Alligator mississippiensis: one gene and its partners. The protein of the gene in region 1 purifies or fractionates together with the protein of each later gene. This does not show direct contact. Links are inferred from orthologs where the notes say so. Each region holds a gene or a part of one and is shown on either strand. Other genes may lie near its edges.

Region 1 (7,725 bases):
TCAGCCTTCTAACACTGCCAGTATTTCAGTTGCTTCTTCAATCTTCCCAATGCTATGGGCCAGGTTTCTTCCTGCTGCAACCTCCACCATGCGTTTCCTTTGCCAGTTACTGCAGTAGGAATTGCCTGTTGCTTTTCCTGGAAGTGTGCTTTTAAAATGTAACAAAGCAACATGGTATCAGCCCACCAAGGCAGGGCAGCCCTCTCCAAGGCAGAATATTTATGTAGCACCCCAGGAATCACAGACCTCATGCTAAAATCCAGCGGTCGCTGGGGAGCAACATGGTAACTACTGAACAGCCACAGTAAAGCTGAGGGATTGTTCACTCAGTGCTGAAGTGCAGCCACCTCAGGAAGCCCACGTGAGCTGTTTAGTAGCCATGCAACAAAAATCACTTACCCAGCAAAGTGTGACCTGCTCTGGGGGGGAACATAGGAATCATTTGGCATTGGCACAGCAGCACAGGGATTGCTTGCCTAACAGGAAATCACATCCCTCTCTGGGACAGAACTTGGGAAGCAGTTAACAGCTGCACAGCAACACAGCATGATAGTTTAACACAGGAAGGAAAGGTCCCCACATCCAGTTGAAGGTGGGGAAGTAGCCTCTCTTCTAACTCCAGCACGGTGACTCCAGGCACCAAGCACATTTTCTAGTCCTGCTCTACCTTTGGATGATTCACTCAAGCAGTCAGTGAACCAAGTAAGAGAATCTAGACCTAACACATGCACAGCAGATTAAGCAGCTGTACCCTCAGCAATGGCCTCCATCAGTGAGTCTAGCTATACAGCAGGATGTGTGCATCACAGGGAATATTCATCACCCACAGGGAAGTTCACACTCTTTGCAGAGGACAGGACTGGGATTCAGGAGATCTGGGCTCTATTCCTAGCTGGGCTACTGGCTGTCTGGTTAACCTTAGGCAGTTTGTTTTCCCTCTCTGTGCCTCTGCTTCCTTTTCCACATACAGGAGATGACTGAAGTCCTCTGCTCTGAAAAGTGCTAGTTATTATTATGTACAGCTGGTGAGCATAGCTAAAAAATGAGGAGAGGCTGAAAAACCAGGCAGAGCCAGGACCCCTAGGCTCCATCCTCAGCTCTCCCACTGCCTAGCTGCATCACCTTAGATGTGTCATTTTGCTAGTCTCCACCTGTAAACCAGGGTGAAGAGCAAGGACACCTGCATTCCATTTTCACCTCTGCCTGACCTTGGACCAACTTCCCGATTATAAAGCAGGGTTAATACTCACCCACCTCCCTAGGGACAGGTTCCTGTTCCATATTTGTACATCCTTCTTTCTTGCCTTAGAAGAGCATACTCTTCCCTCCAGGCTAAGGCACTTAGCAGGGTAGGAGGGGAAGGGAGCAGTATCTGTGGATAAAGTACTAGGAGCCAGGACTCCTGGGCTCTATTTCTGGCCCTACCACTCAGACACCATATGATCTTGATGTGTCTCAGTTTCTCCAACATGGAGTGTTATGAGGGGCTTCATGGCTTGAAAGGATGACAAAGTTGGAACCTTACAGGTTTTAAAAATTTATACTCCATTCCTCCACTGGTTCATCTCTTGGCAGGGTTAGGAGCTTCTCAGAGATAAATGGAGTTCCATGGCATTCACTGTGCCTAGAACTTGAAGAGGAAGGTTGTCTAAGGTAATATCTGGCTGCTGGGTGTTGAGCTCCTGGCACCTTTTATATCAAGAGGAGGATTTTCTGCTAGTGTCCTCAGTTAAACTTTCCTCTCCCTCCTGTAGCTGGCTTCCTCCTCAGAGGCAGCTACATTTCAATGGTGAGTGGTTTCTAAAGTGCCAGGGAAGCCATATGTCAGCAGAAACAAGGATGAGTTAGAGAGACATGAACTGTTTCTCTGAAGGCAGAATGAGATGGGACACCTCTGCTCAAACAGTCTCATGCATATCTGCAGACAGACAGGACTTTCCTACTTCCGTCTGAAAAATGGGGCCCCTCTCATCCCTCCCTGTTATCAGCCTATGGGTACCTGTTGCCTGAGAGAATCAGGTTGACTATATCTGGCTACTCACCCCTTCTCCCCATGGCATTCATATTTAATACAATAGAGCCTGATTGTGTTACTAATTACTCTTCCTCCTACAGCACAAACCGCTGAGACACCCTCTTCACCTTGGTTTAATTATGCAGCTGCACCTTTGTTCCTTGTTCTCCTTTTCTGCAAGACTTTATTTAGCATCAGTGCATCTCAGGAGTTTGACTCAGGTATTGTCCACATGTGAAAGTTGTATTGCTTTAACTATCCTGGTAGTTAAAGGGACATGTATGTTCACATCCATGAAATGTCATGTGGTTATATGTTATGGCAGTTCCTCCTGTGGCAAGGGTGTCAAACATATGGCCCACAGTCCCCCAGAGGGGCTGGAGATTTAAGGATGGGACAAGTAATAGCAACATTAACCTCTACAGCCCCCTTAACTGACAGTAGTTCAGGCACCCACAGGGGTGAATTTGAAATCCATCTCTCTGCCACTGAATTCTGGGGTATAGAGCTTCACTGGGGACTTGTTTGCCATACGTAAGCTGCTGCTGCAACAAAAGAAGTGTTATGCCCCAGGGCTCCCTGAACAAACAGTGGCTTAAGCACCCATAGGGGTTATTGCCATTCCTGCTTACCCTGCTGCAGGGGTTGGGGGGGCGGCGGCAGGGGACACAGGAGCAAATGAGTTTGACACCCCTGCCACAGAAAGAAGGGATCTTTTGCCATCCTTTGTCTACACTAGGGATTGGACTGCTACTCTTTCCATTGAAAATAAAAGGTCTCACACTACTACCTGGAATACATTTTCCCAGTACAAAAACAGTGCATAGATTAGTCCCTATTGATATGTAGTATGGAGCACCTTGGAAGCCAAATCACAGGGCACGTTGTGTTGGGCACTGTCCAGAACAGGACAATGTTTGCCCCCCCCCCCAAAAGCTTACAGGACACCAATTTCAGGCTTTGATTTCTGCCTTCCCTTACTAGTATATCTCAGATGAATCAGCCTCTAGAAATTCAACCAGATAGAAAACATTCTCTACGGCCTTCTTCACCAGCAGGACGCTGCACCATATTTATTTCCAGTCTTTGTGAAGATTTTCATTCTTACTGTGGTGGGTTCTACAGAACTGCAGTCAGTGACAAAAGAGCAGTCAACTACCTTCACGTTCTGCTTCAAAAGTCAGAGCTGGTTCAGTTGTAGCTTGGGCTGCTGACCATTCATACCCGACAAACGTCAGTTTTAAGTGCTACCAGGTGTGGATTATTTCTAGTGCTAGTTGTAGTGTCATTTAATCCCAGCCCATCAAGGGGATTCTCCTCCTCCCCCCATGTACCATTTGTGGGCTTCCTATTGCCTCCTGGGCTCTCTGCCTCCAATGGGCTGACCAAAAGAATTTGACACTGTTACAGAAGTGAAGAGAACACGGGCTGCGATGCTATTACGGACAAGGGATGCTGTTCAGGTAGAAGTAGGTAAGAACTAGTATGACTTGACATAGGATCATGCTTAATATCCTTATAGTTGTTGTCATGTTAGAGTTAAGGGCACTAATACAGTAGCTAGGAGAGTATTTAGTTAACCAATGCATATAAAAATGTGTTGAAAGTGCTAGCCCTGGAGCACCTCCTGAGCTTTGGATGCCACTGAATTTCAGTGAGGAAGGGGATGTTCAGGTAATTCCCAGCCCTTTCCAAAGGCACCCCAGGATCTTGTACCACCCAAATCATGCACACGGAACAACTCTTTGACATCAGGTGTGCCCAATATAGCAGATTTCTGTGCGAGCCCAGTGCCCCTTACACACGCTGTTTGATGAGGAAGAGCCACAGCTGGGGCTGGAGGAAAGCTGTTTTCTGCAGCACTCGCATCCTTCTCATCTCTTCTTGGGTAGGCACATGGAGGCTGCAGCACCTTCACAGGAGAAGAGAGGATGGGGAGATCTTAAAGCCTCCTTGCCACCATCCCACCCCACCCCACCACAATCGCAGGGGCAAATACGTTACCTTTAGCGCAGCCCTTGGTGGTGGGCTTCATCCTTCCAAGGGAAGCGCTTTGTGACAGCTGCGATGGAGCCTCGCCTCTCCGGGGGCCCCACTCCCCCGCTGGGTCGGAGCTCCCCCGAGCAGCGGCCGCCTTCAGCTCAGGAGCTGCAGCCCCCGAGCAGCGCTTCTCAGCCTCCTGCTCCAGCCTCCCCACAAGGAAGAAGACCCCCTCCCGGAGATTCCCCCCTTCCAGGAGACCCAACCCCCCCGAACCCTTGCGGGCTGAGCGCCCCCTCTTCCGAAACCAGCTGCGAGCTGCCCGCGGCGCAGCGGGGCCCCCGGCTGCACCCTGCAAGGACCGCTGCGGCAGCCCGGCGCTGCACGCGGTGGGGGAGGGGAAGTCATGACGCAGAGCGCGCACGCGGCTCCCACACCCCCCGCTTGCCGCCACTTCTCTTGGGCGCCCGGGCGCGGCGGCGACCAATCAGCGCGCGGCGCCGGAACCCGGCGGCGGCCCGCCGACACGCATGCGCCGCGGCGGCCGGGCGGCCAATCAGCTCGGCGCGTGGCGGGCGCGGGCAGCCAATGAGCCCCCGGCAGCGGGGCGGCGGGCAGCGGCTCATATCCCTCCGCTCCGCCTCGCCGAGCCGCGCTCCCACCCGCCCCTTTCTCCTTCCGCCGCCGCCACAGTCGCCTCGAGCAGCTGCCGCCGCCGCCGCCCGGGTCCCCGCGCCGCAGGAGCCGAGAGAGGAGCGGGCCCCGCCCCACCGCCGCGCCGCGCCGGAGCCTCCGCCGCCGCCATGGAGCTCATCACCATCCTGGAGAAGACGGTCTCGCCGGGTAGGGCAGGGCAGGGCCAGGCGGCGGCGGCGGGCGCGGCTGAGGGGGCGCGGGGCCGCGGGCAGGAGCCCGGGCGGGCGGGTGGGGCGCGGCGCGGCCGCAGGCGGTGCGGGCCTGGGCGGGTGGGGCGGGCGTGTCGCGGCGCCGCGGGGACGTAGTTTTTCCCCGCGCGGGGCCCGTGGGCAGGGCAGGGCAGGGCAGGGCAGGGGCGGGCGAGGTGAAGACGGCGGGCCGGCCCGGGCCGGGAGCTGCGGCGCCTGATGCGGCCTGTCCCTTCCCCGCAGACCGCTCCGAGTTGGAGGCGGCGCAGAAGTTCCTGGAGCAGGCGGCCATCGAGAACCTGGTGAGCGGGGCGGCCGGGCTGGGGCCGTACTGCCAGGCCGGGCCGGGCCGCCATAAAGGGTGCAGCCTACCTCGCCGGCTCCAGCCGGGGCGGCGGCCGGCCAATGGCGACGCGCCCGGGAGACCCGGCGGCCAATCGCAGCGCGCATCCGGCCCGAGGGGGAGGGTGTTAGGCTGCGTGGTGCTGTGTGTGCGGCGGGAGGGGGGAGAATGGGGCCTGCGGGACATGTGGGGAGCCCGGGCTGGGGCGGGGGGTGGCTCCCTACCCCCCGTCCTGCCCCCACTGCCACCATAGGGCAAGTCCTGCCTGCCCCCTGGGGTCTTGCTCCCTTCCTGTGCTGGGGACCCATCTCCCTCTTCCACATCCCCTCATGCTGCTTTGCGAGGCTGGGTGCAGGGTGCTCCTCTGTTTCTTTGCTGACTGACTTTTTTTTGCCTCTGGCCATCACTTGCACCTCTTCTTCTTTTCATTTGCTCCATTTGTTTCTCATTCTCTTTTTCCTCACTCACTGGGGCTGGGTCCTTTTTTTCTCATCCTCTTCCCCTTTTGATACCCCCTTTCTGCTTTTCATCATCATTCCCTGTCTTCTGGGCTATGCCTCCCTCCCCCTTTGTCTGATCTGGCCTGGAGTTCGGAGAAGCAGAGAGAGCTTCACCCTGGGTTGGGGGAGGGTCTGTGTCTGAAGTGTATTTTCTTAAGGAAGTTAGGGTGGCGGGGAGCAGAGCTCACACCCTCAGGCCTGCAAAAGGCTGTCTCGTGTTGACCTGTTAAAACACATGGCAGCCCCTGCACATGAGTGCACTAAAATCAAGGATGGATGGGGCTGCAATGTGTAAGGTTCTCCTGTGAGCAGCCAAATAAGCTGTTTGTCATTATGGCAGTTCAGTGAAAGGGTACAGGGGTGTGTGGCTTGTTGCTGTTGGTCACCTATTTTTCTTTCAGATTGGAAGCAAAATGTGGGTGTTTTTCTTTATGTGGACATATATGTGCTTTCCACTTCACCGGTGTCAATGGACAAGAAATTCTGAAATCATAGAAAATGAGGGTTGGAAGGGACCTCAGGAGGTCATCTAGTCCAGCCCCCTGCTCAAAGCAGGACCATACCCAACTAGATCATGCCAGCCAAAGCTTTGTCTGCTCAAGTCTTAAAAACCTCCAGGGATGGAGATTCCACCACCTCTCTGTTGTAGCCTGTTCTAGTGCTTTACTGCCCTTCTATTGAGACAGTTTAGGTGAGGTATTGGGAAGAACTTCCTTTGCTGCAACTTGGGACAATTGCTCCTTGTTTGAGAACAGTCTAGCTCCATGCTCTTTGGGACCCTTTCCCCCCCTTCAGGTAGCTGAAGACTGTTATCAAATCCCTCCTCAGTTGTCTCTTCTCCAGACTAAACTGAGATATCTGTTATGCAACTCCATGTTTTTAGTGATCATGGAACCCTTCTGAAGCATAATTGGAATATTTTTTATGTTTAATATCTTTCTCTTTAGTTCCTGTTCTATGGCTAGCTGTTTAGTAAATCATAGCCCTCCACTGTAACTGTGGAACCCAACTGTAGCTGAGAAATTTTACTGGTGCAGCTGATGAAAATGTGTCCCAGTCAGTTCTTGCAATTTTTTCCTGCATACATTCTAGAGCATTAGCCAATACTTTTGGCAGAGCTTGGTTATGTATAGAGGCTGTGAGAGCATGTACGTTGCAGACCCAAATCCAAATGTAATCTAGAAGGATTTTGAAATTAGTCTATCTAAATTACAGATAGAACTGCTGATGTTTGGACCCAGAATAAAACAGCTACTTACGTAGTTCTTGTTAAATAAATAGTTGCAGGAAGCAGGCAGAAAATAAAGTAATGGCGAATACAAGCTGCTCCTGCTTTTCAGCTGTATGTCCCAGAGTTCCTCCGCATCAAATTCAGAATGGAATTTTGAGAGTTGAGCCCAGTGTCTCCTTGGGGGTTGTGACCCTTGCCATTGTCACATTTTTTTTTCATCAGCTTCCACAATCTAGTCTGGCAAAATTCCTTCTTTCTGACTTTATAATAAAAGTTCTTTGGGGATGAGTAAAATTACTTTTCTCATTATGGTAAAAGGTGAATGAGGGAGATTTTTGTTTTAGGCCAATATGCTTTTTGGATGTTTTTGTAAGGCTTAATCGAGCTTATATTGATGGACCCAAACTTTATTTGCAAACACTGTATTTCAGGTGTCTAAACAGACTATTTGATAGCCTCCTTACAATTCTGTCAGGTGATATATTCACAAAGGTCATATATAAATCTATGGTCTTCTGTTACATGCTGCTTACAGTCGTTCCTAGCTACTACCAGAGTTTTCCATTCTGTCTACTGGGAAATTTGTACAGGTTTCTAACATTTGAGTGCAACTGTTCAATTTTTAGGAATTGGTTGCATTTGGGTTTAGAGCAGACAGCCGATGCAAGTCTTCCTTCAACTCCTATGTCCAGCTATATTGTATTGACATTAATGCAGGTGTACCCAGCTTCTTTGGGTTTGTGTTTTTTTTTTTTTTTTTTTCCTAGTGTAGA
Region 2 (7,329 bases), on another chromosome or scaffold:
TCCTCTGGATTATTCACAAGACTTAAAATGAAGAGAAGAGACATAGGGAGAAAATTAAAGCATGTAAAAAAATTAATTGAACTGATTAGCTAAATATTCTGTGCATTTCCTCCCACTTCAAAAACACACATTAATTGCCAAAAACCTAATTTAGAGAATGCTATTAAACATGTGACTTACGGGGTATCAGCAAAACAGTGTAAGGTGTCTTAAGGAAAAACAAGCAAACAGAAAAACAAATTTCTCATGTTGGGTAGGAAACTTTCTTATAATAGCACCCTCATCTTTTGCAGAATACAACTTTTGTTTAAGAGTTCTTAGTCCTTGTAATTTAAAAAAGCTGTCCAAATATGAATTAAATACAATACTTAACCTATGCAGTCTCTCCAAGCTTGCAGACAACAGAAATGTATGCCACCCATCTTTAAAAGCAGCAATCCCAGTCAAGCTCAATTTCTTATCACATAAAATCTAATTAAAAAAAAAAAAAAAAGTATATAGAGCATGTAGGCCTTTGCCAATTATCTCCTTTTCTGCAGAGCTTTGAATAACTTGAAATTATGTCCTTCCTTTCACTCCAGAACTGGTAGTGCAGAAACACTGCTGTCTAGAATAATGATTTTCAGCCAGGGTCCCGTGGCTCAGGGTCTCCCTCTCTGGTCTACAAGGTGAAAATGTACCCTGACTTTTCCCTCCCTGGCAAAGCCTCCATTCCCACTACTATTCCCTCTGCAAGGAAGTAAGAACTGTGATAAATTAGTTTTGAAGTGGAGCACTGCTTAATTCATAACAGTCATGGAGGGGTGCCTTGAGTCTAAAAAGGCTGAGAACTAATCGTCTAGAGCAGGGGTAGGCAATGTTTTTTGGCCAAAGCGCCGAAAAACACCACAATGCCTACCTTGCAAGGTGCCAGAGTGCTGGCATGCCAGAAAAACAAAATGAGGGCAAGGGGTACATAGAATGCCCTGTTTGTGCCCCTTGCCCCCCCTGCCCCCCAGTTCTGTGCCCCCTCCAAAGCCCCTGCCCCCCAGCCCTCCTACCCTGTGCAGCTGCAGCAAGCAGCTGGCAGGGTACAAACATCTGAGCTGGGCTCCACAGCTCCAGCATCAGCTCCATCCTGGTGGTGAGTGCATGCGCACTCAGAGCAGACAGTGGGGCAGCAGAGCCTGCCCAAGGTGCCCGTGCAGTCACCGCCAGCACAGAGCTGATGCTGGAGCTATGGAGCCTGGTGCAGCTGTTTGCAGCCTGCCCCCTGCTTGCTGCAGCTGCCCAGAGCCCAGGCTGGCTGCAAACAGCTGCGCCGGGCTCTGGAACCCTGCTATCACCTCTGTGCCAGGAGCAGGCGAGAAACTGGGGCTGCGCTGCCTCAGGTTCCACCCCACCACCCGCTCCGACACGTGGGTGCACGCGTTGGTACGGAGCTGATGTGGCGTGCTGAGCAAAATAGCCTCATGTGCCATGCTCAGCACGCATGCCGGGGGTTGCTGACCCCTGGTCTAGAGACTTGCTTATACCAATTGATTCATAAATAGTTGTTCACTTTCAGCACAAAAAAAGGTATCAGAACCAAAACATACGCTCTCTCCCTCTCCCCATCACACACAACCCCCCAGACTTTGTGGGGGATGGGGGAGATACCGTTTCTTTTTACAGCTAGCAAATTGCCAGCTGCCACTGGAAACCTCCCCCCAACCCTCTTCCCTGCCACCTACCCCCCACAGGCTGTTGTTGGCCGGGGTACTGCGGCAGCTACCTCGCTCCCTGTCCGTAACACTCCAGACCCTCCCAGCCAATTGATGCGTGCCCTCTCAGTGCATGCGCAGTTGTCCTGGAGTGTGACAGACAGACGCTTTTATTATATTAGAATTGTTCAAATGTTCTCCCTACTTCAAATATAGCAAATGTCTAGATGCATGTGAAAGGGGAAGAAAGGAATGGAACGTATGCTGTAGATTTGCAAAGGCTTTTTTCAGTAAGAGACTACAGTAGGCAGGTCCGAAACCAAACTAAGTATTTGTCAGTTTTGTAAGCCCATCCAAGAGTAAGCTAGTGATTTTAAAAATGTTTCTCCAGATGACTTGTTTGAAGTCAGAGGCACCACAATAACCCTCACCTGCTCTACTAGGTCAGCATCTCAAACAGAAAACTGGTATCAAAACCAAGAAACAGTATTTGAAATACCTACCATCCTAGGAGGGACCCGTCAATACCAACTCTTAAGGAATCTTCTAGAACAACATCTTCTGTAACTTCTGAGAAAGACAAATCCAGAGTCATATACCACAGATCATTCATTAAAATTTCCATTTCCCCTTAAGATAACTGAGTTCTGGACTTCCTGTATATAGGCTTGGGAGGAGTCACATTTGTTTAATCTTTGTTTTAATGGAAACATACTGATCCATCTCCATGTTTCTAACATCTGTTGATTTAGGAGAAAGTTATGGCCAGATCCAAGAAGCCTTAAGATGCACTTCAAAAGCCCAGGCCTAAGAGCACAGTCCACAAAACCTCTCCACACCTACTGAGGTGCCCAAAAGTCTACTACTACGCAATGATAGAAGTGCCAGTCTGGTACCCAACATAAGCCTACAGCCACCGGGGATACCCAATTTGTGAATCCAGCAGACAGGCCCAGCGTGCCTCTCTCACGCTGTCAGCATTGCATTCAGCACATAGCACAGCAGCTGGAGCCACTTCCAGATGTGATCACCTTTTTCATACAGTAGCCTGTGGTTGACATCCTCACCCAGGGAGCAGCCATACCAGGCAGCCAAAATAGCCTCCTGGGGCCAGTGGGGCTTGTTTGCCAACAAAATCTATGGCATCAAGAAGCTGGATAGCTCCGTTTTTAAAGAAACAGAGCAAAAAAGTGCCCTACGCCTAAAGGACATGGACATACAAGGCAACCTGGACCAGGATAAAGATGCGCAGGACTTTCCAACCCCCGCAGCTGTTGTATAACTGCACTGCATAAAATCACTGGGCAGCTGAGACAGACTTTGAGATGGTGAAATAAGAACTGGAGCTGTGCCTGCCTGGGAGGGGTGCATGGGAAAGCTAAGACCACAGACTCAACTAGCAGGGCACAGCTGAGGCACACCAGCTCCATAGTAACCGCTGTGAGTCCCTGGTAAAAAGAGGAGTGCATCTGTTGAAGCTCTCTCTTCCCTGAAGGAGAGACCTAGATGCTCATGGGCTCTGCCTTGCTGCAGAGGAGGAGGGGGGCTACCAGGAAGCAGCTAACTCCCACCTGGATACACCTGTACCATACTGTGGGGCACCAGGCACCTGCCACCAGCCTGGGGCAGGCTAAAACCAGAGGAGAGGTTTACTCTGGGACAAAGCAGTTTACCCTGGGATCCCGGGGGCTCAGGCTGAAGACAGCGGAGAGGTCCCAGAGGGGGCTTGACTCATCAGGGCAATCCCTGACAGGAAGCCTGCGTGCCAACTAGCACGGATGAGCCTGGCTTGTCCCAGGCAGGCCCCGACAGCGGGCGCAGGGCCAGGTGCGCCCGCCTGCTCACCCATCCGCGAGATCCCAGGGGGAGTGTCGTTGTCCCGGAGCGCTCAGCCCGGCGGCCCCGCAGCGAGCACAGCCCAGTGCCCCGGACAGTCCGAGCTTCGCTAGGAGGCAGGCAATGGGCTCCGAGGCCGGGCCCGGGCTCGGGCCCTCGCCCCGCCGGCACTCACTGAAGCAGGCGAGGACGCGGAGGCGCCGCTCCTCCTGAGCGCACAGGTGTAGCGAGTCGCTCAGCACGGCGTAGCAGCCCCGACACTGGAACACGGCGCAGTCCTGCGGCCGCAACCGGCGCCGCCGCAGAGCCGCCGCCCCGGTGCTCGCCTCCGCCGCTGCCTTCCGCGCGCTGCCCGCGGGGGCCGCCGCCGCCGGCCGCTCCACCATGATGGCACCGTCGATCTCAGGGTCCTGGAAGAACTGCTGCAGCAGCCTCCGCCGCACCGCCATCTTCTCGCACCCGGCTCCTGCCGCGCGTTCGAATGCACCTCCCCTCCCTCGATTGGGTGCCTGCCTCCCAGCCCTGCACTCGCATTGGCAGCCACACACCTCAATCTCTCCCCTCACTCCTCCCTCTCTCTCTTACTGTCTCCGCACGCCCACGCCGCTTGCCTGAGGGAGTCCTCCTCTACTGTCGTCATCCTGCTGTCCAATCAGATCGTGAGGATGTAGCGCCGGGCGGGGCTTTCAGTCCAGGCCGTTCGAAAAAAAACAAACCCGCGCCGCCGGAGCCCCATTGGTCGGAGCTTTGCCTAAGGCACCCGCCTCTCGTGGCAGTTCTGCCAATGGGAGAGCCGGACAGCGCCAGTTCGAACGGGGGGCGGGGACGGGCTGTTGAGCGCCGGATTCAAAGCGGACGGTTGACGCGCGGCGTAGGGATTATTCAGTGCGGCTCGGACCGGGCCGTCGCCATCATGGAGCCGCTCTCCCTGCGCCCGTTGGAGTCGCTCAAGTATTGTGAGCTGCAACAGGTGGCCAAGGTCGCTGGACTCCGCGCTAATCTCAAGGTGGGAGCGGGGCCCCGGGAGGGGAGCTGGGAGGTGTTCCTGCCTCGTAGGTGCCGGGGCGGTAGTAGCGCGGGGCCGGGCCCCGGTGCCTCGTCGAGTGCTCAGCCCCGGTGTGCGCCGCGGTCCTCCTTCGCCGGCGGTGCGCCCGCAGGTCCTTGCTGCGGGAGCCCGGGGTCACCTCGAGCCGAGTCCCAAGAGGCGGGAGCTGTCTCCTGGGTCTCAGGCGCGGCGGCAGGAAAGCTATGGGTGCAAGTACACGGCGGAGAACTGGGGTCGGAACTCTTGGCAGAGGTGGTCTCTTTTAGATATTTGCAAGCATCTGTCTTTATTCTCATAGGAGAGGGAAAAGGTTGTAAAGTTTCTCCGCGGTGGAAATGAAAATTCGTATTTCGCAGGAGAGCAGAAGGTGGTGCAAGATCTCCTGGCTGGAATAGTTAATTTTGGCAAATTAGGCTTAGGTGGAAGTTAGAACAGCCCATTTTATCTCGGTGCTGTCTGGAGTCAAGCAGGATGTTGAATTATGTTTCCTTCCAGTGATGACATTTCATCTCTCACAGGAGGGCGGTGATGGACTGGTCTCCTGGGCAAGGAATTTCTCTTAGATTCATAGATCTTGTGCCGAGGCAGCTTTGAGCTCTGTGAAGATGCAGATTTATCTGGAACAACAATAGGCAGAAACCAGGGTGTCAGCTTTCAGGTTTCAGTAAAAAAATTTTTTGCAAATATCTAGTTGGTCTAACAAAAGTCTGCCATGAGTTATAATTCCTTTTGCCAGCATAGAGACCAATAGGCTACAGCCTGTATCCCTGAAACTGGATAACTGTGCCTTTAAGAAGCTCTGGCATTGGGCCTATTGGGATTTGTTGTTTCTTACTGTGCTTTCTATCTGCAAGCCAGGTGTGCCAGGGAAGAGGCAGTAGAGTTTGAGCAATATTACATAAATGTTCAGGGTACTATTCCATGACACACAAGCAAGATGTATTTAAATAGAAAGGTGAGGAGAGGGGGGCTGCCCAGAGAAGCTGACAGCCGATGGATTGGCTCCCTGGAGATGGAGGCAGCTCACTCCCAGCTGGAGGGACACCAGAGGAAGCAGCCAGTTCAGGTAATGGGATAAGAAACGCCAGTCCCCTTTGAGACAGTGGCTGAGGTAGTCCTGCCTGCCGCTGACTTCTTGTGCTGCAATTATTATGTTGAAGTGGGAATTTAAAATGTTGTTTTAAGAAGAGCTCCTCGGGCCAGTCGTGAGGTGTCAGAGGAGGCTGAGGTGTTTGGCCACCAGCTTTCATTAAGTTTCTGGGCTAGATGTCTGTTCATTCTTTTGCCTAGGAATTGCCTTTATCTGGCTGATGTAAGCACTGTAAGCTGGTGATGGTATGTAAGTTGTTGGTGGAAGAATAGAGGAATAAACCCCAGATGTTATAATTCATTATGTTTGGTCCAGTGGGGATGTGGTCTGTGTTTGAGAAGACATAACTGGCATCCAGCAGTCTATTCATAGCATCTTATTAAGTATTTTCCATGCCTCCTACAAAAGCCTCTGAATCGCTTAGTCTCTAAGGTGTCACCCTGCCCTGTCTTCTTTTTGGGAATCTGCTATTAGTGCTGTTTACAGGGAGTCAAAGCTGCTCAAAAGAGACTTACTGTTTATTTATTAGACAGAACAATTAGGGAAGCAATTTTAAAGCAGTTAATGTGCATGTCTACCGTGTGTTCTACTATCTCATGGTGGTAACCTAAGGTTCCCTGAGAATAAGCCTCTGGCTGGGAGCAGGTTTACAGTTAGAGCTTTGCCAGAACAGATGTACAAGTCCAGTGATACCCATGCTGGCTCTTCACTGAAATTGATTTTGAACTGGAGTGTCCTTGTTGCAGTTTACCTAAAGGTGCTTATTTTACAGCTCTCTAGTCAACAGTGACTGCTTATGTGGCTCCTATGACTGAGTCGCATAGTGTCAAAGGCTGCTTCTTGGCTGTTAGGCTAAGATCAGTATTATACTCAGTATGTGGGTTTAGCAAAGGAATGTTCCCTGACCAAATGAAAATAAGATATACCAGCAAACGAACAATTTTGAAAATGAACAATGAATAACTGCTTCTGCGCCAGCGACTTCTGAGAGGCTGTTAGCCCATTAGCCTGAAGTCAGGCAGAAGGCAGGGTAGAGATGCACCTGGCTTTTGCAAGCAATGTTTTTCACATGTCATCCTCCTCCTATTGATATAACTATGATGGCAAATATTCTAATATAAAAGCCTAAGTCTGTCGGTAACGCTTTATTCACGCTGTGATTGGCTGACAGAAACAGTCAATCGGAGTGCTCCAAGCGTGGGGGAGCACCGCTGTGATTCCAAAGCCAGGCAGAGGACTGGACAGAGGGTGGGGAGCTGAGGCCCCCACCCTGCTCCTTGCAAGAGGCAGAACTGCGGCAGCATGGGGCGTTAGGTGGTGGGACACCATCCCAGCCCCCTCTCCCCGGTCATTTGTGACCGGTAATTGGCTAGTTTGTTATAAAGCTGTAGCCCTCATCTCAAATAAATAACCATCAGACTTTCCATCTCATGCCATCTCCCATGCCTGAACGTGTCTTTGAATCTTTGACCCCCCCCCCCCCCCCCACTAATTTAAACAGTCAATGGGCTGAATCTGACCTGTGGAGCTCTATGATCTGGTCTGTGGGTCTTGGGCCAATCCCCACATACCACATGTGGCACACACTAGCCCCAGTGCCTCATGTAGCACAGGGGGTCAGTCTTGGGTACATGTTGCATGCAGTTCCCACAGAAGACCAGCCCTGGGCACTAGCT
Region 3 (7,445 bases), on another chromosome or scaffold:
GCAAGGCCCTACGAGGAGAGACGGAGGGACCTGGATCTCTTCAGCCTTCACAAGAGAAGGCTGAGAGGTGATCTTGTGGCTGCCTATAAATTCATCAGGGGAGGGCAGCAGGGACTAGATTTACTAGGGCACCCCCTGGAGTAACTAAGAACAATGGCCACAAATAGATGGACAGCAGATTTAGGTTGGACATTTGAAAGAACTTCTTTGTAGTAAGGGTTGCCAGAATCTGGAATGGCTTTCCAAGGGAGGTGATGCTCTCCCCTGCCCTGGGGGTCTTCAAGGGACTGGACAAGCACCTGGCTGGGATTGTCTGACCTCAGCGCTCTTTCTTGCCCAGGGCAGGGGTTTGGACTCAATGGCCTACTGAAGTCCCTTCTGACCATAACATCTATGAATCTATGGTAAGTCCTGGAGTCATGCCTCCTGAATGCAGTGTAGACATGCTTTTACTGAAATTTAACATGTTGGGTTTTCAGCATGAACACTGGGGGGGGGAGGGAGAGAGGGGGAAACTGTCTAATACAAAAGGAAGGGAGACCTCAGCCTATAAAAGAGCAATGATTTTGGAAGGAGAAAACACTTAAACCCACCTCCATCAGCTTATGATGGCCCAAATTCACTTAAATGTAGCCCAGAGTCATCAGGTGGAATTTTCCTGTAAGTCTAAGCACCTAATTCACTGGTCATGTTGTTGGCTGGCCCCCAGTATGAGGATGACAGTCTGCTAGTAAATAGGGAAGTCATCAGTGAGCCGGTGGATGATTGAGGAGGCTGATCTGAGATCCACATGTTCCACTGGAGACATGGCAAATTGTTCCGGGAGGAGATCCTGGTCATGTCAGGTCATGGGTTTTCCTTTTGTCTCTCTCATCTATCTGCCTCCACAATGAAGTGAGTTTGCTCAAAATAACTGATGCCTCGATGTACATTGTAGCACCCCTGGGGATGATTCAGTGTTTGAGTCTCCCAGGTATTGATGTTAATATCACATCTCTTCTGATTGGCCTTAAAAGTGTCCTTGGATTTCTTCTTTTGCCCATCTCTAGATGATTGATGAGTTGGGAGTATAGGATCTGTTTGGGGAGCCAGTTGACAGATATCCTTATGACATGCCCTGTCCAGCAGAGCTGGTGCTGTATAAACATGGCTTCAGTGCTTGTAGTGTATGAACCAGAGCACTGGTGTTCATACTGTCTTTGGACATCTGATTTTGACTGGAGTGCTGCTTTTCGAAATCTCCAAAATTATGTGTGACAATTATGACATCAGAACCCAAACCAAACTGCTCATCTTAAAGGCTGGTATCATCTCTACTCTGTTGCATGGGTGTGACATTTGGATGACATATTGGAAACACTTGAAAGCTCTGGAACATGACCATCAGCAATGTCTTTGGAAAATCCTCTATATTAATTGTAAGGACATAAAGTGGTCAGGTAAACAGTGATGCAAGGTGCAGAGGAAGTGTAAGTGGCCAATTGCCAGAACTTGTATCCATTTTCCAACTTTCGGTGACACTGGTGTGCACAGTGATGTCACTTCCGGTGTAGGAATCAAAATTCTGCAGTGCGGTGGTGGTACAGTTCCCATCCTCAGCTCAGAATAAAGCTGGTCGTGACCATACATCCAAGGTCCTGACCTCGCAACACACTCCATACTCAGTGAATGTACACAAGGCACTGAATGCTTTCAGCTTTCATTGCATTGGGAAGGAAGATGTACTCAGGATCTCTTGCATTTGGACTCTGTGGCCATGTCTTTGTGCCACTGCTAGCTATCCCTGGGGAATGCCTGTGCCACATGCTCTCTGGCACGTGGCAGGTTACCCCAGGTGGGGTTGGGGAGGCTGGGGCCATCACAATTGCTGGCCCCAGCAACTTTATCTGGGGGCCAGGGAAGCTACAGCCACGTTTGTCCTGCAGCTTGGAGCCTAGCCAGCAGCTGGAGCATAGCTCTGGCTGGCCAGGCTCTAGTTTTGGGCAGTGTGTGCTGTCCCTGCCTGCGTGCACTGCCCTGCTTTTTTTCTGCCTGGTTTTTTTTGACCCCTGGATCAACACCCCCCCATCCTTCAGGGTAGCAGCACAGGAAATGCCTGAATGTGCAGTCTGTGCCACCACAGACAGGTCTGCAGCACCACATACTGCACGGCCACTCTCATCTGGATCCAGCCTGTGGGTCAAATACTTCACTAGCATGAACTGGTATAGCTCCATTTTTTTCACTGGATCTGTACCAGTTTGCACCTGATGGGAACTTGACCTTGTGGTTGTCTAGCAAAAGGCAGACAGGGCAAACTAACTTGCTCACTGTCATATGGTAAGTCAGTGACTCTTCTTGGGTTAATCAGGATGTCCCTAGTTCCCAGGGTTTTGCTGTAACCACTAGCGGCTTATATGGCCATCTGTGCAGGTTGAAATGTTGTGGGATGCTCTACATTTTGAAATGAGGAAGACGAATCTAAAATGATTCAGCATAATCTTTTCTGCGGGAAATAACTCTTTGCCTAAGCGCACCAACCGGTCTCTAATCCATTTATTGCTGTCCCCATTCACTGCACCCATGTGCAGCTAAAAATGTCCTATTCCATTATAAAAACAAATGTTGTTTAGTATCCCCCCAGAATTTCCTTCTGTGTTCCTGTGGCTTGAAAGCTGGATTTATAAAACACAATGTCACCTTCTTTGCTATCCTATAAGAAACATTTTTACACTGACTGCAATATATGGTGCTTCTCAGATTATCCGTACGTTTTATGCTTTTCAGCTGTATCGTATTTTGCACTATTCTTTTTTTCAATCCATTGTCTACACCTACATTTTTACAGTGCCACCAAGCGGCTGAGGTTTGCACTGATGCTTTCGGATTTTAATGTTGTGTAGATCAGTGGTTCGCAACCTTTTTTGTACCGGGTCCCATTTGTAAACATCAATAGCCAGTCCCAACCCAGTGCCCCTCACTCCCAATCCGCTGCCCCCAGGTCCCAGCCCCCCAGCATGTGGGATAAAGGAAGGGTGTATGTGGGGCATGGGGACCCCCAAGCAGCTCCTCTGGCAGGGACTCTGCCATCCTGCAAGGGAAAAGCCAATTTTCCCCACGTTTTTCTCCTTTTAAAGGAGAATCCATGTTTAAACTGTGTTTGTGACCCTTTCATCTATTCTTGCGACCCATTTTGGGGTCATGACCCACAGGTTGAAAAACGCTGGTGTAGATTGTCTTTCTTTTGTCCAGCTACTCTTTCCATGTGTACAAACCATGTCAAGTACGAACCATGAACTATTAGTTTCTCCAGCATATAGCTGCAGACATTAAGAAATGGGAGATGATATATAGGAGGGACGTGAGAACAGGAATGCAGGACAGATGATAGGCTATGGGTAGGGTTTTTCCAATGAGTTTGGCGAAATGTAGGGCCCTACTGAGCACTTCTGAAAATCCATTTATAAAAAGATATGCTGTATTTACTTACAAGTTCAAGCACAGCTCTGTATTCTTGGCCTTATTCTATACAAAATGGCAAAAATCAGAGTTTACAGATTATTTTCTCAGTTGTTGCTAGTGCTTATTTCTGTTAGCATCTATAAGCCCTTGTCCTAGACTGAAACTTCACTGAACACGCACAAAAAAAATGAACATTTTTGTTTCAGAAAGTTTACCATCGACGTGCAACACACGGGACAATTGATGAATACCCACCTTACCCAAGACAGCAACGAGATGCTGCGGGTCAGCTGCCAGGTAGTGGTTCAACACACGATCAGCATTACTGTGATCCCGGTGTTGTGGATGTTGGAAACAGGGGACGGTAAGGAAGGAAAATGCCTTTGTTTTCACAGGTGGCACAGAACGGGTCCCATCGCTGTGTGAGGCCGGTCCCCTTCCACCCTTGTTCTGGGGCACCGGGGAGCTGCCTCGCTCAGGGGGACTCACACCCCGGCTGCAGATTACAAATGGCAAGACTCCTTACGCCCATTTCACAGACGGGAGCCGAGTGACAGAGGAAGCGGCCCAACCCGAGGGCGGACACACGCCCCCAGGAGCGGTCACAGTAAGACCCCCTACTCCGGGGGGGGGGGGGGGGTCTTGGCGCTGCACCCAGGACGAGCACCACGGAGCCCGCGACCGACCAATCACAGCGCTGCCCCCGCTGTCGTCATGCGCCCGCGGTTCCGTAACGGAGACGGTGGGCGGCCAATGAGAGCGCGGGGCGGCTCCTTGTCGGGAGTCGATAGGAAGGGCGGGGAGGGCTGGGCGCCCAATGAGCGGGCCCGACCGGCTCCCCGCGGGCCAATGAGCGGCCGCAGAGCTGGCTTGGCTCGGCCAATGAGCGGTTTCGGGGGAGATTTGAAAGCGAGGCGGAGCGGGCGGCTGCGGGTGTCTCGGGGGCTCCGGCCGCTGCGGGTGAGCGCGGGCTCGGGCGGTGAAGGGAGTGGGGGAGGGGCGGAGGGGAAAGGAAGAGGGGGAGTGGGGGGAGGTGTAGGGGGGCAGTATATGGCACCCCCCCTGGCAGGGGGCCGGGTCTGTCCCAGAGGTGGCTCCACTCCGCTCTGTTTCCTGCCCCGCGCGAGGCCAGCCCGTCTGTGCCCCTCCCTCAGCTCCCTTGGGGGCAGAAGTGGCCAGGCCCACGTCGTGTGCACCCAGGGCTGGCAGCAGCCTGAGGCTGAAGTGGCTCTTTGCTGCCAGTCCCTGGGGGTGGGTTTTGCCCCCTCGTGCCCGCTCCTGTTTCAGGCCTGCATACTCGATGTGTGATGTGCTGTGACTTTCTCATTAGCAAATACAGTTTTTTGGATGAAATGCTGACTCCTTCTTTCGCCGGTTGACTGGGACTAAGGTGCGCAGGTTCAGGAGCCAGCGTGTGCCCGGGTGGCAGCAGGAGGAAGGTGCGGGAGCCGCGGCAGCCCAGGCAGGACGGGAGAGGCAAGGCTGTCCGAGGGCAGTGCCTTTCAGCTTGCGGTCGTCAATCCCCTTGACTGTGTCTAAGGCAGGGGTTGGCTGTTTTTGGGCAGCGCCAACAACCCCTGCAGCCTCGATTTGTAGGATGTTGATGTGCCGGGGGAGGATGGTGGGGGAGCCGCGAGGGGCCTGATCCTTGTGAAGGCGCAGCCCCAGCTTATTCCCCCCTGTCCACCGTGAAGCGAGCGTGCCAAGCGAAACGCCTTCGTTTGCTATGCTCTGGCACCTGTGCTGGGGGCTGCCTCCCCCTAATCTATGGGGGCCACCAAAGATGACTGATCAATCAGAAGTATGTGAGTACACTTACACTTCAGAGGGGTCTGCACCTCCATTTTTGGGGTCTGTAAATAAAAAAAGGTTGAAAACCACTGTCCCAGGGGGATCGGTATTTATTTTATCTTGTGTGCATTGTTAGTTACTTTGGTTTTTTATTCTTTGATCTTTGATTGGACTAGCTGTGCTGTAGAGTTAGGCCAGCTTTCGCATGCAAGAGACCTGATGAAGGAAGGACATCTTTTGTTGGAAAGCTCCTACTGTACAGTTGGTCCAATCAAAGCTATTTCCCTAAGACATCCTTGCCTCGTATCCTGATTATGGCTCACTACAACCTAACAAATGTTGCTGTTGATCTCCCTGTGCTCTGCAAGTTATAACTATCCTCTCCCTTCTCAATGGTCTCTTCTGCCACTTACTATCTTGCCCATTCTCCTGCCCTTTTGTTCACAGTGCTCCTCCATCTCTCTAAGCAGACTGTTTGTATTAACACAGACACCTCTGTCTCCTAGTTAGCTCAGCCTGTGTCTTCCTCTTTCTTAGACCTGAGGAAGGCCAATTAATGCCCCAAAAGCTTGTCCACCAGCTCTCCCAACCATAATTGATCCAATAAAAACTATTCCAAACAATCCTTGCCTCTCAAAATGAGAAGGGAACGTTACAGTCTGTGGAAGGAAAGGAGAGTCACTAAGGATGTATACCAAGGAATAGGAAGATCAAGAATGTAATGGTGAAAAAAATCTACCTATCTGTCTATCAAATCTGGCAAGGGATGTGACTGACAAGAAGAAGGTATTCTCAAAATATTTTATATAGAAAGGAAATACTTGGGAAACTGGATCCACTGCTCAATAGTGAGCCCCTAATAAAGGATGTGAAGAAGGCAGAGTTGTTCAGTGACTACTGAGTCTGTCTCAAAAAAATAAGCTGTGACCAGACTGCTAACAATTTAATATAAACAAAGAAGAGGAAAGGCTGCAGTTCATGAAAAAATAGAGGTATAAAAGCTCTTTTGACCAATTTGAAGGAATTTAAGCTAGTATGACTTGACAAAATTCATCTCAGGGTGCTGAAGAAATGTCAGAGCTACTGATAATAGTATCTGTGTAGCCATGCATGACAGGTGAAGTCCCAGGGAATGGGAGAAGAGCTAACTAAAAAGGAGGACCTGGAGAATTATAGACTGGTCAGCCTGAAGTTAATCCTGGGAAGGTACTAAAGCAAACTATAGGACTGTCAGCAGGTAAGCACTTGGGAGAGGAAGGTGCAGTCAGTAGCAGCCAGTGTGGATTTGTGAACCTTGCCAAACCAAGGTCCTGATTAGTGTAACTAGTTCAGTGGATCAAGGGACTGCAGTGCGCTTTAGTAAGACATGATATGATCCCACTTGGCATTCTCAACAGTAGAAATGTGGACTAGATAAAATTACTGTTGTGTGACTATGTAATTGGTTGAATAACACAAGCAGAATGTAACTTTGTCGATTGAGGTCAAAGTGGCAGGTTTCAGATGAGGAGCCACTGAATCCAGTGTTAACATTTTTACTAATGACTTAAATGCAGGAATACAGAGCTTCTGCATGAAGTTTGCAGGTGAGAAAATACTGAGAGGGGCTGTGAACACATTGGGGGAGTAGAATTGTAGTGGAATTCAGAAGAATCTCCATAAATTGAAGAATTATGCACAGGGTGACTATGGAATTCAGCAGAGACCAGTGTAAGGCCCTACCTAGGGAAGAACTAAATGCAAAAATATGGAATGAGAGCTAATTGGTTAGGCAGGAGCATCGCTGAGAAGGATCTGTGAGTTTTGGTGGATCACAGTCTCAACATAAGTTAGCAATGTGATGCAGTCAGGAGAAAGCAAATGCTGTTTTGCGCTGTATTGCCAGAAGTATTGTATACAAGACATGAAAGGTGATAGTATCACCTGCGTGGTGCTGCTTAGGCCTCATCTGGAGCATTGCTTACAGTGCTGGGCTCCACATTCTTTATAGAAATGAGAGGATCCAGAGGCAAGCAGTAGAGGTTGTAAAGGGGTTAGAATGGAAACCATATAAGGAAAGGTTGAGAAAATTAGTTAGGTTTAATTTGGTGAAATGGAGATGAAGGGAGGGACATGATGGCAGTTTTCAATTATTTAAAAGGCTGCTATAAAGAAGAGGGAGAACAACTATTCTTCCTTATTGCAGAAGGCAGGGCATGAAGTGATGGCTCTAA
Region 4 (7,704 bases), on another chromosome or scaffold:
TGGATCATTATAGCCACCTTGTGACAAGTAGAAAGAGGCAAACCTAGACTGATCAGCTATGCCACGTCACTCTTACTGGGGCTCCCTACACATCCACTGTAATCAGACAAAGCTCACCAATTTTATTGGGATCTTCTCCTGCTTGATTCTGCATTAGAAGATTTTTGGTGTGGAAGACTTGCAGGCCAGTTGCTCCACCGGCAAAGACCAGCCCGTATTTGTTAGATACAACAAGGAGACTGGAACGCTCTTTGGGGAGCTCGTCAGGAGCATCAAAAATTCGGACTTTCTTCAGCGCTCTGAACTGAAAATCCTGTTGTGCAAAAGAATTAAGCAGTGACTCAAAGTGACAGGGAGAAGGGAGAAACCAACCAGATTAAAACATACTTTTATCCAAACACAGTCGCTCAATTAGAAACATGGGATTTACAAGAGCATCACTGAATCCAGCCCCCTGCTATTCGAGCAACTGCATCATAGCATCCCTTCCATAAATACACCTGGCTTCATCTTAAATTTTTTTTTTTAGAAATATTTCCCCCACCACACCTACAGGATGGCTGTTCCAGAAGCTAACTGTTCCAATGGTCACAAGCCTAATTTCTAAACTAAATATAATCACAACTAGTTTATACCCATTTGATTTCATGCCAATGCTGCCCTTTAGCTTAAACAGCTCTTTTCCCCTCCCTGGATGTATTTAAAAAAAGTGATCATTTCCTACTCAGCCTTTGCTTCACTAAGCTGAACAAACCAAGCTTTTTTTTTTTGTCTCCTCTCAACACAGACTCCCTATTCTCCAGTCAACCTAGTAGCTCTCCTCTGCATCTGTCCAAGTTTGAAACCTTGGTTTCTTTAATCTGAACAACCAGAAAAACCACACAATATTTCCAATGAGGTACCAGGGCTTTGTGCTACGGCATTAATGCCAGTACTTCCTCCTATTGGAAATCCTCCTGATAGTTCCTAGGACTGTGCTGCCTTTTTCATGGCTGCATCACACTGAAGAAGCCTCAGTCAGCCTACAACTTACTAGTATATGCAGACACTCCTCCTCCTCCTCCATCATCTCCAAAAGATGCGCTCCCATTGTATAAGGACAAAATACACACAAATTTCCGTTGAGTGCATGAAATTTGCCCTGGGTCTGGTAATATATCTCCTTCCACTTCTTCTCCGCTGCCTGCTATCTTATATACATACTTTCTTCCCTGACACCATCTAGTCAAAATGCCCTTCCAGGTTTTTCCAGTCTTTCCCTTTGCCTCTTGCCCTCAGTATGCACCTTCATCATGCCATGAAGTATCCTGTCCTCCTGCATTCTCTCCTGTTTGCTTCAACTACACCAGCTCTTGTCTTTCTACCCATGTCTTCAACTCTGCTGATTTAACATGCTCCTTAGCACTCACTCAGTCTGATCTCAAGCTCCCAATACATACCTTTATTTATTGCTACAGCCTGCAGAAATCCCTCTTTATTAAAACCCAAAGTCTCTGACCCACATAATACAACAGGAACATAATAGGCTCTGTACCAACATCTTACACGAATACTGAAATACTCATTTAAGTATTAGGCCACATCTAGGTTACCTTTAATTTCTACCCCAGCCTTACTGTAAAGCAGCTCCCATTCCTCCCTTGTTCCTATTTTTAGGAAGTTAAAATTAATCTTCTGTTCTTTAACATCCTTTGTAAAGGCGCTCTCAGCCTGACCTTTGACCATTTTCATTTTATGCCAACAGAAGTGCTGTTCCTCACTTTCTCAAATGAAGAACCACCGGAATACATCGCAAATAGGTCAACCACCACAAAATGCTTGAATTTCCAAGAGAGCCAAGGCCAAACCCTTTGTAACGATCTGCTCCAGAGGTTCCAACGGGCATGGAAAGACTGGACTTTCCCAGGAATCACCTACAAGGATAAGGGCCGCACACTTCACACAGGAAATAAGCGATGGAAAGGAGGCAAAACTCCTTTCTTATGAAATTGCACGACCAGAGCTCAAGACAGGCCTTTCTGCTTGGTGCCAAAATCCCTCTTGAGGGTTGTTCAGGTGAAACAAGGCTTTTTCTCTGCAGCAGCTGTACCCAACCTTTCATCCCTAGTCTGGGGGCTGAACCCAGGGTATGTGGGGCTGGGGGCCAAACCCTGGGTCATGTCCCACACAGGGGGCCATATCACCTGGCTTGGGGGGGGGCTTGGAAATGTCATAGAACCACAGAGGAGTCCGGCTGGGCGGGTCCTCCAGAGCTCATCCAGTCCAACCTCTACCTGAGGCAGGCCCAACCCCTATCCAAACCATCCTCTATCATCCATCACCCAAACTCTACGTAAGACCATCAATCCTGAGCCAACACAGACCTAGCACCCAAACCTGGCACTGATAAAGCAGGGAAACCAAGGCAGCCAATGTCCCACTTCTATGAAAGGTTGCCAATATATGCCCAAGGGATCTGGGGTGGAGGCCACAACCCCTGCTACAATCACTCAATTAGCACCATTGCTCTTTACAGAGCATGGCGTACGCGCTGATGAGTTCTCTGATGGCTGCTGAATCCAACGCACGTGACAGGGCCCACAGACAGGGCACGCCACCCACGCGCTAGCGATGCTCTGAATCCGAGCAGATTCTTTCCTCCTCTGACGCTGGTCGTCGCAAAACTTGATCTGGTCAACCCCGCAGCGCCTCGCTCATCTGCAAGCTGAGTCCGCCAACCAGAGCAGCACTCCGCACTGCCTTCCCAATCAGCCACGGAGGTGCCAAAAGATGCCGAGTCTCCTTTGCAAGCATCGCGAAACCCGTGCAGCGCCTGCCGCCTCTCTCTAGACCCTGCGCGAGCTTCAGAGTACAGCACGGTCGTCAGGATCCTGCGATCCGGTATTCTCTTGACATGACCAAGCCACCCGAGTCGTGTCTTACTTGTCAACGTTCTCACGAATGACAGACCAGCAACATTTAACACTTCCACGTTCGCCGCCCTGGCCTGCCGTCTTATTCGAACAATTTGAGGCAGGCATCTGATACGAAATGTTTAGCCCCCTGCTACAGAGGAAGATAACCCCCTCCCCCTCAGCACCATTGGGACCAATCTGAACAGGGCGATGTGGCCACGAGCCGCTGGTGCCGTGCTGCCGGAGGGAGCCACCTTCCCCTTTACACCTGCAGCAGCCACCACCCCCAAGGGGGGCTTTAATCCCCCCAGCACCCCCGAGGGGGGCCTTGATCCTCCCCCAGCACCCCCCACCTGCCCCTCCCCCACCGCAGACTCCTGGGGCTCAGGCTGTGCAGCGCCGCGCACCCCAGAGGGCCCCTCGAGGCTCTGCCCCCTCCCCCACCTTCATGTCGCGCTCAGGGATCACGTCCATGTCGTCGCCCATGGTGACCAGGCCCGGCCGAGCCGCCGCCGCCGCCGCCACCGCCGCCGCCGCGCGCTACGCACTCCACTGACACTGTCCGGCTACTTCCGCTTCCGGCCCAGCCGGAGGCCGCTCTAGCCGCGCCGCTCGATGGTAGCTGAGGGCGGGAGGACTAGAGAACGGGGTGGGGAGGGGAGAGGGCTGCAAGAAGGGGCGGGGCTTCAGGGTAGGGGCGGGGCCTACCCATAAATTTTGCGAGCATGGGTGCTGGTTTTCTCGGATTAAACCCCCCCCAATTTTCGGTTTAAAAAAATGTAACCCCAAATGCACATTTTCCCATGATTAAAATGAAACACCACTATACCTATCTATTAATCTATCTATAGATACGGATCGATGTATCTATAGCTACAAATCTATCTGTATACCTATCTATATAGATCTAGATAGATTTATCTATAGATATAGAGACACACACACACGGTGTTTCGGTTTAATCACAGAAAAATGTGGATTTGGGGTTCTTTCTTTTTAAACCGAAAATTGGGGATTTTTTTAAATCCGAGAAAACCAGGATCCCTGCTTATGAGCCCCGTTGACAAGCCCCTGGTGCCCCCAGCCCTGGGCTGCCGTGCCCGGTTGCCCCCGTAGGACAGAGAGGAACTAGAGATGGCCACACAAGGGCAACCAGGGGGATTAGGGGCTCCCACGCAGAGAGAGGCGAAAGCCCGGCCTCATCGGTTGGGAAGAGAAACACTTGTTTGGGGAGGGGGGGGACAAGAGGGATGCACGCCACCCCAGATGGCGGAGAGGAAGTCAGCCAGCATTGAGCGCCGAGTCTCTCCCACCAGCCCAGAGCATGAAACAAGCAGGTGGTCAGTGTAAAATGAACGTCAGGACGTTGTTTTGCACCCAGAGGGTCACTAGCGCAGGGAGCTGACCGTCCAGCCAGATTCAGCCAAGGGCCTGGACCCGTTCTTGGAGAGCCGCTGTTGAGCCTGGGAGTGTGGGCCGCGGCCTCTGAAGGAGCTTCCTAAGCACTGAAATGCTGAAGGCTGCAAGAGAGAGAGGGACAATAGGGAAAAACTCCTGGCCAGACTCAGTTCCTGCTTCCTTTCAGCATTTGTTCTTTGCCACCGCGTGAAACAGGCTTATTTGTTACTTCCAAGGGATCGTGGGCTCTTCCCCACCAAGAACAAGAAGACTTCCTTAGGACAGGAGGCTGCTGAGAAAGTAACAACTAATTTCTTGGGACAAAAGAAAGGTAAAACAGGGATGAGAACAATGGTCAAAGGTCCGAAAAGAGTGTGCCAAGACGGGACGCCGAGCACAGCACAGCGGATATTGCCTGCTGGCTTTCGAACGTGTTCAAGGAGCTGGCGGACACTGCCTGGTGAGACGTGAATGGAGGAGGGACAGGGAAACGACCCCGCAGTCCCTGGGGGCCCTGCGTGTGACACAGGCCTTTTGATGTACCATTTGGGAACATGGGCCAAAGCTCAACACGTAGAGCTATGAGCCCCGCTTGGTGATGGGGGCCACTAGGGGCATGGCACTGATTATTCAGTACAACTCAAAGCCAAAACAGGGACAGGAGCAATGGTCAAAGTTTCAGAATGATTGCGCTGGGGATAATCTTAAGGCGCCAGCTCCTGGAGTCCTGTTACGTACCCAGCAGCTCTCCAGGACCTGGCTGTGCCCGTTCAGGGGACAGTGCCCCAGCCACCCACTTCCAGCTCCCAGCACAAATAGAAGGGAGGACACTACCCTTTTAATGGTGCAATAGGGGCTTGGCAGGGCTGTGTACCTGTCCCCACTGCTACTACTGAGAAGGCCGGTGATCTAGCCCTGTCAGCCACTACCGACATGCTGTTTTTAGCTGAATTATTTCAGTCCAATTTATGCTCCCCTGGCCCAAGGCATTCCCATCATTGGCACCAGGCATCATTTGTAGCCTGCTGTGGTTTTATTGTAGCCCTTTGAAGTCAGCCAATGCTCTGCTGCGATGTGCTGTAGTGTTTAAATGGAGCAGAGAAGCACACGCAAGAGCATGTGAAGGGCAAACGCAGCAGCGCTGCCTGTGCAATCTCATTAGCCAGCCTTGCCCCAGGACACCAGCTGTTAGATCCTACTTGCCTTTTTCCACACCTGAGGCCGACGTCACCCCTGCTGTAAGCAAATACAATTGCATTAGCGCTGACCTTAGCGGCGTGACGGCCTCTTACCCTTAGGCTTGCAGCGTAAACGGCCACAGAGTTAAGTCTCTGACCACCTTGGGCTCAGGATGCAGAAAACTAATTGCTCAAAGCAGAGCCCAGTGTGATTTGCAGCCAATTGCTTTATCCAAAGGAGGCTTTACAGTGGGGGAAATTCTCTTCACTCGGTCCACCTGCTTGCACTAGAGGATTTGGAGGCAGCTGTAACACAGCATAAGTGTGCAGTCATTTCAGTCCATAGCAGGTAGTCCAGACAGTACAAAAGACCTGCTAGTACCAGCTAAGCTAGTTTCACTCTAGCTCAGGGATAAAAGTCCTTGTTACAATAGTGCCGGGATGTCCAAATTACATTCAATAAACTACCTGAAGCAAGGGGGACAAAAATCTCCCACTGGTAAATCAGTTGCCCTCCTGGTTCTAATTCTCCAAGACTTGAAGTGAGTGCTGGCCCCAGGGGAGTACACACGCTCTTTAGAAAGGCTGTAGCAGATGTCTTTTACTTGTTTCTCCTGCCCATGCTGGGGCACAAGGGCAGCTGTGCAGCTGAGAAACCTGCCCCACATCTCCTGGGCCCTGCTTTGGTGATTTGCATTAGGCTGGAAGGACTTTTCTTTTGCCCTTATTCCTTAGGGGCAGGGTAGAGGCAGGGGTCATACCTAACGAGACGTCTTCTTGCTCCTGCAGTGGAAAACAAGTAGTGGTAACAGAAGCGTTTCAGACAGATGTGCTTTGATTTAGGATTTCCACCTCCTGTTTGTAACCCAGGACACAAGCATGGGTCCAAAATGAGTTGGCAGAAGGTAGGCAAAACCCTCCTGTCAGTACATGGTGGGGGTTAGAACTCGGTTTTACCCTGGTTCAAACAAGAACAGGACATGCCGAAGCTTCAAGTTGTTTCAGAAGGTTTATTTTTCCACCTGGACAAGCAGAGTTGTGCCACCCCCATCTGCAGTCTCTCCCCCTGTCACAATTCCAAAGTTTTCATACAAAGATGATAGCAAGACATAAAAAAAAATACAGCCCTTGGAAGGAGCAAGATGTCTAGTCAAGTTACAATTATTTGGACTTTTTATTTATACAAGGATTTAAAAACCACAAAAGTTAAAAGCTGCCAAGAACATAAAAGAAGAAACAGAGTAAGCAGTTAAACCCCAGCAGCAAACAACCAGATTCCAAGAGTTTACATAGAAAGCAATGATCGCATCAGTGTCCCGAATGATCAGAGCATGGTCCCAGCTACACTGGCATCAGACGAGTCCTTCCCTGCCCTCGAAAGGTCCCAGCTCTGCCAAGACAACCTTTCCAATGTGCTGAATTTCACTCATGAGAATGGTCCCATTGTAATACATTTAAACAAAAGCATTTGTTTGTAGGATCCCAGAAGTTCAGAGGCCACCTGTATAAAGAAAGTAAACTCCCCCACAGCAAGGCTGGATGGATTCGAGGGGCTCAGACTGGACTCCTCTGATCTCACTTTCTCCTGCAGCTGTAGGACATCCCCAGCGTTTTCTGTGAATGTCCAAAGCAAGACTAGCTGGGCTGGTTTTCCCACCGCCCCTTGAGATTTCAGGTGAGAGAGAACAGCCAATTTAGATTTGATGTTATGGAACTGAACTAACTGGCCACTGGCAGCGAGGGAAACGACCAAACTTCAGAGGCCAGCTGCTTATTCACATTACAAGGAGCCTCCTAGAAAACCCAATATATTAGGAAGTCTACCTTTAAAAACTCAATAGACAGAAGCAGCAACACCTTTTGCAACCAACAGTTGACTTAGTAGAATCGTCTCCAGAGACATCAGGCTCACACGAGTGCATCCACCCCGGGCAAAGAGGGGCCCACCAAGAAACTTGTTTGGCTCTGCGGCTTCTTCACAGATTCAACATTCGTGTCTACATCCTTCAGTCAGCAGCCAGCAAAATTGCTATCTGGGGGCAACTCTTCCCATTATCTCACTTCTGGCATGAGCTTCAGCTTATAGCCACCCAGAAATGCCTTGACATGTCAAGTAGCTCCTTTTGTAGTTTCTGTATGAAGAAAGAGCAGTGGTGTATTCCTGCCAGCAGCTTGCAGAGCACACTCCAAGCTTAATCCTACACATTCAGCAGGCTTAATATAGGTGGAAGTCA

What was found.
Region 2: the proteins of KPNB1 (region 1) and NUSAP1 purify together in Homo sapiens (affinity purification with mass spectrometry; 3 studies listed by BioGRID and IntAct, counting the BioPlex papers as one, with this or other methods). This does not show direct contact. The link is inferred for Alligator mississippiensis from reciprocal best matches to the Homo sapiens genes KPNB1 and NUSAP1.
Region 3: the proteins of KPNB1 (region 1) and DLGAP5 purify together in Homo sapiens (affinity purification with mass spectrometry; 4 studies listed by BioGRID and IntAct, with this or other methods). This does not show direct contact. The link is inferred for Alligator mississippiensis from reciprocal best matches to the Homo sapiens genes KPNB1 and DLGAP5.
Region 4: the proteins of KPNB1 (region 1) and NUP214 purify together in Homo sapiens (affinity purification with mass spectrometry; 3 studies listed by BioGRID and IntAct, with this or other methods). This does not show direct contact. The link is inferred for Alligator mississippiensis from reciprocal best matches to the Homo sapiens genes KPNB1 and NUP214.

What each region holds. Positions count from the first base shown.
Region 1 is NC_081827.1:167,230,996-167,238,720, forward strand, and holds the start of KPNB1 (importin subunit beta-1), read left to right. Parts: upstream 1-4,658; 5' UTR 4,659-4,797; coding exon 4,798-4,837; intron 4,838-5,121; coding exon 5,122-5,180; intron 5,181-7,725.
Region 2 is NC_081825.1:239,938,429-239,945,757, reverse strand, and holds the start of NUSAP1 (nucleolar and spindle-associated protein 1), read left to right. Parts: upstream 1-4,287; 5' UTR 4,288-4,302; coding exon 4,303-4,524; intron 4,525-7,329. Other genes in the region: OIP5 (protein Mis18-beta), read right to left, coding at 2,186-2,252, 3,694-3,967. UniProt on the Homo sapiens protein: Microtubule-associated protein with the capacity to bundle and stabilize microtubules. May associate with chromosomes and promote the organization of mitotic spindle microtubules around them.
Region 3 is NC_081825.1:293,226,642-293,234,086, reverse strand, and holds the start of DLGAP5 (disks large-associated protein 5), read left to right. Parts: upstream 1-4,267; 5' UTR 4,268-4,401; intron 4,402-7,445. UniProt on the Homo sapiens protein: Potential cell cycle regulator that may play a role in carcinogenesis of cancer cells. Mitotic phosphoprotein regulated by the ubiquitin-proteasome pathway.
Region 4 is NC_081835.1:59,556,085-59,563,788, reverse strand, and holds the start of NUP214 (nuclear pore complex protein Nup214), read right to left. Parts: upstream 3,447-7,704; 5' UTR 3,381-3,446; coding exon 3,339-3,380; intron 314-3,338; coding exon 118-313; intron 1-117. UniProt on the Homo sapiens protein: Part of the nuclear pore complex. Has a critical role in nucleocytoplasmic transport.